Linked DNA regions of Schizosaccharomyces pombe. The gene in region 2 interacts genetically with the main gene of each other region. Each region holds a gene or a part of one and is shown on either strand. Other genes may lie near its edges.

The links.
Region 1: mutations in gpt1 (region 2) and alg5 impair growth when combined (synthetic growth defect), as found in Schizosaccharomyces pombe (one study listed by BioGRID).

What each region holds. Positions count from the first base shown.
Region 1 is NC_003423.3:4,090,446-4,094,555, reverse strand, and holds alg5 (dolichyl-phosphate beta-glucosyltransferase Alg5), read right to left. Parts: upstream 2,400-4,110; 5' UTR 2,229-2,399; coding exon 2,172-2,228; exon of another isoform or gene 2,017-2,171; coding exon 1,105-2,016; 3' UTR 804-1,104; downstream 1-803. Other genes in the region: homoserine O-acetyltransferase Met6, read left to right, coding at 3,730-4,110.
Region 2 is NC_003423.3:705,249-712,968, reverse strand, and holds gpt1 (UDP-glucose--glycoprotein glucosyltransferase Gpt1), read right to left. Parts: upstream 5,456-7,720; 5' UTR 5,382-5,455; coding exon 1,035-5,381; 3' UTR 543-1,034; downstream 1-542. Other genes in the region: 19S proteasome regulatory subunit Rpn3, read right to left, coding at 1-252, 297-392, 439-457; SPOM_SPBPJ4664.05 (uncharacterized protein), read right to left, coding at 6,303-6,828, 6,892-7,037; cop1 (coatomer alpha subunit protein), read right to left, coding at 7,456-7,720.

The DNA.
Region 1 (4,110 bases), 3.4 Mb from region 2:
CGATTCAGAAAATACGAAAAAATTCTATAATAAATTCGGTTTTCAAATTCAGAAGTTTATTAAACCAAAACAAATGAAATTTTTACAATTGAACGAATCTATAAAAATTTGCGAATGTTAGCTCAAGGGAGTTGCAAATAATTGAAAAGGAAAGGAATAATAGTTAAAGGAGTATTTAATAACTATTTTTGAACCAGTCTTTTTCCAAATATTTTTTTAATAGTTGGTAAATGAGCTGACACTTGAAGGAGCGTTAATTTCTTCCTCCCGTGTGGAATATGTAGTTGAAAAAAGAAAATTGTAATCGCTCTGATTATCTTGATTTCGGTTTTATTACTGCTGATAATTATACTGCGTTGTCTCACTGATAAAATCAAAAAATCTCATTTGCAGTATAACTCATTATATTTTTATCACGCTAGATAGTGCTATATTTTTTTAAAGAAGCTATACGCAATAGCGCTGTATTCAAATTTGCTATGGCAAGTTGAATAATGGGTAGGTAAACCATTTAATTTACTATTGCTAATGCTGAAGTTTAAATGGACGGAACTATTTTTCTGTTTCGTACTTCATGTTATGAAAATTATTTAGTTTCATCTTGCTAAGATTTATTGATGCTGACTTTACAATAAATATAGACGGATACACACGCAACAACGTTGAAAACCAAACCTAGGTAAATATGTTCTTGTGGTTGCATATATACAAAAAAGTTGAGTTTTGGCTAGAGACTCGGTTGAAAACTAACAGCTGCGTAATAATAACAATACATCTATTATGTTCCTTACTACCACGAACTGTGAATATTAAAAAGAATTTAATTAGTAAATTTATTAGTCAAGTAATTTTTCATAAAAAGAACGTCATAAGTACATATATGGGGAAATGAGAAGTATTTACAACATTGAAAAAAAATCGAGCAAGTAGAAAATCGCTTACTCAAAGATAGAATATTCCGCTTGGAGATAAAACAATCAATAAAAAAGGAACAAAGAGTAATAGGAAACGAACCGCCTAAAAATTCTTATGTATCTCTCATAATTTAATTATATCTCAGGAAAAATGTATAATGAACAATAACATCCACAACAATACGTCCAATTAAGTAATACGCTTAGCCGAGGGCCTTTCCCATATACCAAATGTATAGTTCAACCGAATTACCAACAAATCGATTGCCATTGAAATACTGTCTTTCAAGAGAGTCATTTTACTACCGCCAACTTCATGCCAAGTAATGGGAACTTCAATGATAGGTAAACCGAAAAAACGAGCAAGTGTTAATACTTCAATATCAAAAATCCATCCTTCAACATGCATACGAGGGAAAATACTTTGATATGCCTCACGAGAAAAAAGCTTGAAGCCACATTGCGTATCGCCAATCTCCCTGATCCCTAAGATTTGTAAAAGTTTGTGAAAACAGTGCATCAAAAAGTTCCTAATAAATGAGCGCTTTACTACTGCAGCCGTGTTCACCATATGAGCACGCGAGCCAACAACGACACCACCCCTTGGTCCGGGTGGCATATTTTTAAAAAGGAGCTCCAAATCAGAAAATTGAGAAGCACCATCTGCATCAGCAAAAATTGCATATTGACCTCTAGCGTACAACATGCCCCAAGTTACCGCACCGCCTTTACCACGATTCCGTTTGAGTGAGCAAACTCGTAAATGATCCCGCAAATCCAGTTTGTTAGAAAACTCTAGCACTGCATTCACCGTCGTATCCTTACTCTCGTCGTCAACTATAAGGATCTCCCACCGACGTTGTCCTGCTGAAGAAGAGGAACGATAATATTTTTCCAAGTGATCGACTGTCTCTTGGAGCATGTTTCCGATTCGTTTAGACTCATTATACGCGGGAACAATGACCGTTATTTGTATATTATCAGAAGTGCTCCACTTCTCAAGAGTCAAACTTTTTTTTTGACCGTTCTCAATGAATACACATGTTTCCTCTCCTTCCAGTTGCTTCCTCGGGCAATGAGAATGAGTTAAATAATAGTAAACCTATATTTGGGTTAATGAATATTCGGGGAAAAATTTGGTCTAATGTCACATCAAAAAATCGAAAGTACAGATAAACTAAACAGGTTCTGCCCGCAACGACCTTATTTACCGACGGGTGGACATGAATGAGAAGCATGCTAGCTAATATTGCTTACCAAGAACAAAAGGATAAATCCCGCAAGGCAGGTGTATAAAACGATGTATACTACCATGTCGTAACTATGCAAAAAGCAGAAGGGTTAAGATTTATGATATTGGAAGAAATAACTCATTCAAAAAAAAAATTACTCCACTCCGTTTATACTCTAAGCTATTTTTTAATGAAATCCGAGCTTTTGCAGTTACAAAGCATGCGGTGGGATTATTTGTGTTTGGCTCTGGCTAACTGCCGACTGGACTGGACAACAGTAATCGTTTAGTCATAGCAGACGAATTTTTTAGTACGAGTTGGTGAGTAGCAGTCAACAACTTAAAATGTCTACTTTTACAAGCAATTAAGCATAGACATATCGATTACAATAGACTCTCATTGTTGCTCAACTTCTGATAGATCACAAAAGTCAAGCATACTTGTTATAATTATATAATTATTTTGACTATTTGGGAGACATTGTATTAAAAGAATAGGTGCCTTTACTCTTTCCTAAAAAACTTACATGACTGTAATTCTGCGTGGATATAAATATTTTTTCATGGAACATCGTATGATATATCTTACGGCTACTTAGTATTAAGGGCGCAAGTTGTTCAATTGCCTTAACCTTTTTGAATAGGATGAACTACAGGTTTGGCTGGGTCATAAAATATGTCTTGAGTATTCCTTCATTTGTAAATTGATAAACTAAAACACTTAACGTTGAAAACACTTGTTTAAAATTGGCTTCAAGTCAATTAATTGTAAATTTAAGGAAACTAGCAAGTAATCATTATTTAGACCAAGCGCCTGTTTATTTAACATTATTACACCTTTTCCTTATCGATTCGTTTATCTTCGAAAGTTGATCTCGCAGAGTCCTGATCCATGAAATGACTTTTTATAAAACATTAGCCTTTGTAATTTTTTTAATAAATTCATCCTTTTCATACATGATTTTACTGAAATTACGGTTAAAACTGTTATATTTATATAAGATAACAAAAAAGTCTCGTTGTTTGAATAGCATATTATGAAGTACCCGTATACCAAACTCGGTTATTGATTACCGTTCAATTAATGTTGTCTAACAAAATACTAAGCAGACCGTTAAATTAGGTTGAGATAAAAGTTTATAAACTTACCACTTCTCCTTTCACCATAACCGAATAGGAAAAAAAATCTTGGTATTCAAGTGTTTTTGGGTAACTTTGGAATTTAACAAATTAGCAAATATAGTTGCTTACCGTTCCTGGTACTAAAAAACCTAAAATTTTTATTGCTGCGCAATACCGTTAGTTTTGGTTTTTTTTCGTAAAAACTTTCTGGTTTTTCGATTTTTTGTTTTTCACGCTTAAAAGAAGAGAAGCTAATTGTATTTGCTTACTCAACACAAAAGCAAGTAATTCATTCTTTGTGTTAAACCTTACACTAATCTGCTTTTGTCAAAAAATTTTTTTTTGGTTATTTAAAACTCCTACCATTGAGTTTTGTTAGTTACATCTTTGAGAACTCAGTTCTATCAAAAAATTTAGTTTCTTTCATTTTTTCAAAATTTGACTATCAATCGTTTGATAAAAATGGAATCTCAATCTCCGATTGAATCAATTGTCTTTACTGACTCCTGTCATCCGTCTCAGCAAGAAAATAAATTTGTTCAGCTTATTTCAGATCAAAAAATTGCAATTGTTCCCAAATTTACGTTGGAGTGTGGCGACATCCTTTACGATGTTCCCGTTGCCTTCAAGACTTGGGGTACTTTGAATAAAGAAGGAAACAATTGTCTTCTTCTTTGTCATGCTTTAAGTGGTTCTGCTGATGCTGGAGATTGGTGGGGTCCTTTACTCGGTCCTGGTCGTGCGTTTGATCCATCACATTTCTTTATCGTATGCCTTAATTCTCTTGGTAGCCCATACGGAAGCGCCTCTCCTGTTACATGGAACGCTGAGACTCATAGTGTT
Region 2 (7,720 bases):
GAAAAATTGTGTTGCCATTTCCATTTGTAATAGAAGTGGAAGAATCATCACCATTTTGTGGCATATCAATAAGTTCCAATAATTCATTTTTTAAAGAATTATCAAAAGAATAATACTTCTTAATTAACTGGCCTAAAACATCCGCATTCAGTCTATGGCAAATGTTGGATGTGGTTCTTAATGATCGATAGACAAGTCTGGGATCTCTTTGTTTGGTGGCTTGCATTAAGGCAGCAATATTTGCTTCCACATCTGATCCTTGTTAGAAATAAATAAATTTTGACGCATTAACTCACCTTGCAAAACTGTTCTTGGAACTTCAGTTACAGTGTTCTGTTTTGTTTCACCAGAATCAACATTTTCTTCTTGGTTTACAGAATCAACCTGCATATCTTTTTAACGTTAATAAATACAAAAACTTTCCCATCAATAACAAACCTCTCTGATCATCAATCATATTGATACTGGTACTTGGTAGTGGTTACGTTCAGTGGAGGGCATATGCCTAAGCTTACGACTCACTGTGCTGTATACTTCCTCCCTATGATTATAAACACGAATATATTAAATGTTCTATTTAGTAAAGACTTTTGAATGCAATATTTATTACAGCATAATAGACGAATAATGTTTGAACAAAGTAGAAGATAGTATCGAATAGTTAAATAAATGAAAATACGCGTCTTCAACAAACATTCAATAAACGTAGCATTGCTCACGATTAGTTGTTTCTTAGCACCATAATCGTTGTATACAACTTGTAGAATGCACCAGCAAAATGGTCCTAACAAGATTGGAGGAAAAAATTAACTCATGACTAGCTCATTTCAAACGGACGACATATACTAATTTTGACCCCTTTTAATCCCTAAAGCCAATACTCTCAGTATTCAAGCAATTCATTAAAACATTTTGATTTTAACTCTTTTCTCTTCTAACTTATGCAAATTCGCAAGTAAATTAGAAAAACGATTATAAAATTTCAGGCGTACAATCACGAATTAAATAATATGAAAGCAAAAGAAAAGTATGTTTCAAAGTTCGTCCGGAGATGAGTTGTTATCCTTTTCTTCAAACTCTTTATCTGATTGACTAGAGGCGGTTTGCAATACGGATGCTATCTCATTATCGTATGAAGTCCATTCAGAGACTTGCCTACGTGCGCGATCCAGCTTCTTTTCTTTAGTTAAAGGATTTTGACATAAATCGATTGTTTTGGCAGTTTTCAAACTTTCATCACTGCACCATGTCTCACACCAAAGCCAATCTTGCGGAAGAGAGTATATAGGAATAAGGTGTTGAAGGTGATTTGGCAAATCTTGATCTAAATTAGACAGGGAGTTAGGATCGGCAGACAAAAGTTGGTATTGTCTGCGAAGTAAATCACCCGCACCCATCTTCCTGAAACGATCTAAGTCTACAACATATAATGCACTAATGTGATATTTTAATCCACGTAAGAATTTTTTCCAGTATCCTTTTTTCCAGAATCTAAAACCTTCCATCTCTTCGCGAGAATCACACATGGGTGTATACCCATATGGAGCACCATGTAAATCCATATCCATCAATTCCTGCAAGTCAGCACGCACAATTTGATCGGCATCAACATAGATAACCTTATGCAATTCTAAAGGGAATAAAACATCAAGGAACAATATTTTGTATCCCCATATCTCACGTTGCTTTTCTTCTTGTTTTCTCAGCCAGTGTGGCCAATTGTAAGTAATATACTCATACTCGAAATTATACTTTTTGGCAATGGCCGGAATAGAGCTTTTAAAAGAAGGGGACAAAAAGTTCTCAATAAACCAGAACTTGACTTTTTTATCCGTATGCTCAATTACACTCTTAGTCATGATGTATAAGAATCTTTCATACAAGTGTCCGCTGGCAACAGAAAAAATATTTATAGATGCTTCTTTACGTTTGAAATTAAAGAAGCTGAGAGACTTTTTTATTTTATCGAAAAATTTATGGGAGCTAAGGTCTTCATCCATAATGTCGGCAGACTCAAAACCAGGTTTACGTCGCATAACCGGATTTAAGGTGACACCTTCAAAACTGTCAACAATTACTTGAGGGTCTTTATAGGAATTTTTCTTATTTAGCGACAGTATTTCATAAAACTGAGAAGACCGCCCATCCATAGGTTCCAAAGTCCATACGCCTGGGTTCGCCTTCAATTGAAAATATCCTAAATTTGATAATACAATTGTATCAGTCACATGGGAATTAGTAAGGTTGCCTAGCTTTAATTGCATACCCCTCGGTGGGCTTTTCCTGAATTCTTCTTGAGAGTAACCTTGTACCAAAATGTTTTTAAGTTCATAGATTGCTGTATGTGAGTCCAAAGCCTCTGCTTCAGAAGTGTGCTCTAATTTTATGTTGAAAAGATCAATGTCCACATCTTTTTGCATAACTGTCCATGCGTCTCTAGCTTCAATGTCCATTGTAAGCAGTGTATCAGCCGGTAAGTTGTCAAATTCTACGTAAGACTCCTCTAAATGGCCAAGCGCATCAAACTCTGGCTCCGCAGAAATTGAATATCGATAAAACCTTGTTAATGGAAGCTCAGACAAAGTTTGTTTAGGATTGAAATGAATTCGAACTCCTACGCCGTTCAACTTTGAGACTGCTTCAAGAATAGCTGACCATTTTTGAGAATCTTTTGAAAGAGGATCTAAAACTGCAACAAACTGATAATAAGCTTTTGAAAAATCGTCAGTTTCAAATGTAGCATTTCCAACACCAAGTTTATTGTAGATAAAATCACGAGGAAATAATTTTTCTTCCTTAGTAGGTGAAGAAGTACTCATGGGTGTAGATTCAAGCGTTTTTAAATATGAGCTAAGGAATGAAATAGCACGGCTGTTTTTTAACCTTCTTGAGCTTCCAGCAATGTTTGACAGTTTTGACAGATAATTATCGTATTCCATTTGCATTAACATTTTTAAGTCAGCGGTGTTCAAACTATCAACTGAGAAAGAACAAATCATCCGTCCGTTTAATAACAAAGCAGATTTACATTCACCGGTAAGACCCAACTCTTTAACAACGGCTTTCGATTTTTTTAGAAATTTCAATGCTTTATCCATATCGTTAACGACGCCAGAACTGGGATCGAGGCTGGAATTTAATATTTCTTGTAAATGCTTACTAGATCTCTTTGGTGATGATAACAGTTTAGCAAACAGAGGGGGTACAACATGATTTTTTCCTTCCTGAATCAACATAAGATTTGCATCTTTATTCTCCGAAAGAAGGTCGGCAAGTAATGAAAGTATTTCAAGCCCTTCCTTTTCATTAAAATCAGCAACTAGCCAGAATGAATATTTAGCATTAGAACTGCCGATAAGTAAAATATCTTCGTGGTTCAAACTACCAACGTTCTCCAAAACCCGTTTAATATCAATACTCTTGATACTAGATTTTGCGGAAGGGTAAACTAAAGGATTCCGCGTTAACGAAGCATCTCGCAAAATAAAATCTAACAGATTATCATCTTCAGAAATCTTCCCTTCTGCAACTGCAATTTGAACTTCAGGGATATCTTCTAAAAATATCCCATACATACTCCTATCGTAATTTTCATCATGAGAAATAATTCGGCCGTTGACTATGACCTCTGATGCAGAAGAATCTATTCCTAAACGATTAACCCAGCTATTGCTCTTAGACATATAGTGGTCAAAAAAAGATGAGGAAAGATCTTTTTTAAGATTAGCTAGAGTATCATCATCATGCTCGCTTAATGGAAGATGCTCTTCAAGCAAGGAGTACAAATCAGCACTAGAATCGCTGTTCAAACATTTATATAAAAATTTGAGAGCGCTGTCAGTTCCGCTCTCCTTCGAAATGTAGAAAAAGGATTTGCAAACAGTTTGAGCAAATTCATCGTCATCGTTAGCAGCACATACCATACCAGTCTGAACGGGCGAAGGGCGCCGTGAAAACTGAATAAGCTCGGAAAGAAGAGGTAACGATGAAGGAGAAGAAGGAAAAATAGGATAAATGACAGTATGCAGTTGTTTTCCGAGCATATGAAGCTGTCCTGGATAGATAGGTTTTAATAAAATTTGTATACTCTTGGGCCAATTGTCATACTTAGGGTTGCTTTCTATTTCGTTCACCCAATGTATGGCTTTCCAGTCCTCTATATCGTCTTGACAATGAAACTTAACAAACTTGAAATCTGAGTCCTCGTTAGCAAAAGCCTCATTAGTGACTATATCTAAGACCTTCGAAGATTTAATCCCTAGAGCTTCAAATCTATCAAACATATCTTTTTCTTTCTTAATTAAAGAGAGAATAGAAAAAGCATCCGTTTCCTCTAAATCAAGAGATAAACCATTCAACCAAATCGTATTAATGCCTTCAGGAACATATTGCGATTGAAATTGGTTCAGTTCCTCGATTAAATCATTAGAAACATCCGGTTGTATAGAAAGGTAATGCGCATAAATAGGAAAATCTTGTGTAAGCTCTCGAAAAGCAGTCAACATGTCAGTACTGCTAGCAATACTTTGTGTAGCTAATAAATCAAGTATTGCAATTTTATCAGGCGTTACAGTTTGTAGGCTGTCGGAGGTCATTCCAAATAGTCTCTCATTTGATCTTTTGTTGCGGGATGATGTAAAACTTGCTGGGTTATCTCCCTTTTCCCTTGGAAACTCGCGATCATCTACAACTAAGTAATCTGTGCGCTTCAATGACACATGGGTACCAAAGCCCTTAACGTAAAGTTTGGAGTTAAGTTTCGAGGAAGAAGGAGGAGAATATCTTATAACATAATTGCACTTTCCTTCCAATGCCAGCTTGTAATATAGTTCGTGAAAAGGAATAAGATCTCGTTCGAAGCTAGTTACAACCACTGCGTACGGAATGCCAGTAGCCGAGGTTTTTACAACTTCGTAATCTAGAGGATTTTTGCTGTACAGCTTGCTAAACAATGGGGAGTCCTTTGGCAAATCCGAAAAGCAAACCTGTGATTCTTCGTCAAGTTGTAGCCAAGTGTCACAATCACAGCTGCGCGATTGAACAATACTTGAAAATGCTTGTAACTTTGGTGCGCCAGAAAACAATCCCAGAGAAAACTGCAAGGAAGATAATTCTTCATCAGAAAGAACATACTCGCGTTTAAGTGAATTGACAACATTAATGTACAGCTCCTTTTCGGTGGTATTTTCAGCATCTAGTAAATCGCTCAAGTGATTTAAATACCAAATGAATCCCTCCTTCTTCTCTTGATACAATGACTCAGCTATAAGTGCAGAAAATGAAGGAGCGTTAAAAGTCGCAGCAATCTTGACATCTAAAGGCTTGGCGGCATAGCAAATCGTAATGAGAGTTGCAATAGCAAACCAAAAGCCCCATCTCATCTTATACTTATCTCTTTTTGCTTTTGGAATGTTTAGCTATTTTTTTGACGACAAAAGAAGTTGGCGGAGTAACTAAGTAGTTGAGAGGACTAACGCGACTATTTACGTGAACAGTTACTTGATCGATAGAACAGTAAACAAGTGGTATAATAATTAGCTATTTAAAGCTGTATCTAATTTATAATCTTACTTCGGCTTCCTATTTTGTTCTATGACTAATTAATTACCAAGGAATAATTTGCAAGTATTCGTAACTGGTCAGGCGCTATACAAAAATCCAAACTTCGAAAGTAGGAAGACTTTTCCATATTACTGATTACGAATTTTGTTAAAATAAAAATTCTTGACACAGGTTTTACAAGATCTAAATTCCAGAATGCTAAAAATAATCATTTCAATCCAGCAAACCAGATAAATAATCACCATAGATGAATTGGTTCCATGAATTAAATTATTTAATGTATATGCAATTGATAAATTTTATAATCATTAGCTTATATTACTTCAGTGAGACAATTATTGTTATTACAACAGGTTTCTAATTGTAACCCATAGTTGTGATAATGAAATAATTGATTAGCACATAATCAATAATAAATGGGGAAAAAAAAGTCCCTGTAGTCATTTTGTCATAAAAATGAAAAGCAACTTGTTCGTGTTAGTGTTGCACACCTCTTTTTAACTGAAAACGTGCAATATTGCATTCATGGAGCAATAAACTATTAAATAATTCAAATCAAAAAAGACCAAATTCCAAGAAAATGAATTTCGCGTCTGTTGGAGCAGACATCAGATGTCCACACTCTGAATATCAAAAGATGGGGGCGATCAAAAACAACAGTCAATGCAAGACCTTGTAAATTCAGAGAGCAAAGAAGTTTTGTTCCTTTCCTACGATAACTGCTTTCCATGTTGCTTAATTTAGGATCTTGGAGGTGCACCAGAAGGTAATGCGTACGGATGAACCATCTTTAAAACAATGTAACAAGAAAACGAGATGATGCTCGCAACAGTATAAAAGATTGTCTTCTTTATAGGATCCAAAATAGCAAGAATGGGATAAGCGTAAAATTTGTTCATTTGATAGCATTTCTCAACCCACAACATGTAACTTACTGCGATTGACAGATAGACAAGAAGAGAAGGACCAATAGACAAACTAAAAGGCGGTGAGAAAAAAAGGTAATCGATAAGTGTATAAACGGTAGGCATTAAATGTACGCTAATATCAAAATTCAGAGGAAGAGGCACAGGGCGATCTTTAGGGATTAAAAGAGACCTATCATAAGAAACTATAGACCAATACAAAATTGAAACAATAGTTTCCAGTGGACAAACAATATAAAGAAGGATATTTTTTAGCTTTACAAGTGTCAAGGAACCAGAAATATCAGAAAATAATCCTACTACCATACTCAACAATGTAACGGCCAGTGACAAAACAGTTCTACATAAAGTGTTAATATTCAGTAATATTAAGTAAGGTATCAGGCCAGACGTATGCGCTTACAAATGCTGAAAATGAGAACCATAGGACCTTCTAATAGCAACATCGCTATTGTGGTTAATCCAGTTAAACGCCCATATCAAATTCGCTGTCGCAACTGTATGCAAAATAAAAGAATTAAATCGTGAACGAGATATAGCCGAAGACATATCAATTGGGTATTTTAACGCTACGCTTCTTACGGTTTTGGTAGTGGTAAGTTGTGTGATTTAGGTCCGTTTCTACCAAGTGACACACCAATGGTCAAATATCCCCATACATGATAAAACAAGAAATACAATTTATAATGGTTTTAACTTACAAAGAATTAAATCGTCTAGATACGAAACTATCTAATTTAGCATCAATATACAGCAAAATGTAAAAAAAAGAGAAAAAGAAGGATAGCAATATTTTCGTAAATAGTGATTGTTAAGTGAAGACAGACCCCGTTTTACAACGTCTAATTTCAACGGTCAAGAATGTGCTGTATGCAAGTAGGTATTTGTTTGAGAGATCATTGTGAAAAAAGCTATGCTAAAATGTGGTAGCTTCTTTTATACTAGACATGTTTGAATTCAAAGATGCTTATGCAAAGAATCTTCTACCAGTACCTTTTTGACCGATACCACCGACATCACATACCGTACAAACTTCATTGACATAGCCTTTATGATATACGGCACCGCAAACGGAACAAACATCAAAATCATCTCCAGAATATACAGGAGTTAAAGTCTTGGGACAAATACGCATTTCAACGTGTGGATCATATTCGATTTCAAAGGCATCATGAGGGTTTCGGTCACCTAAGGTAATGGCGCGGTTGGCTGCTTCAGCTGCAGGACCACTT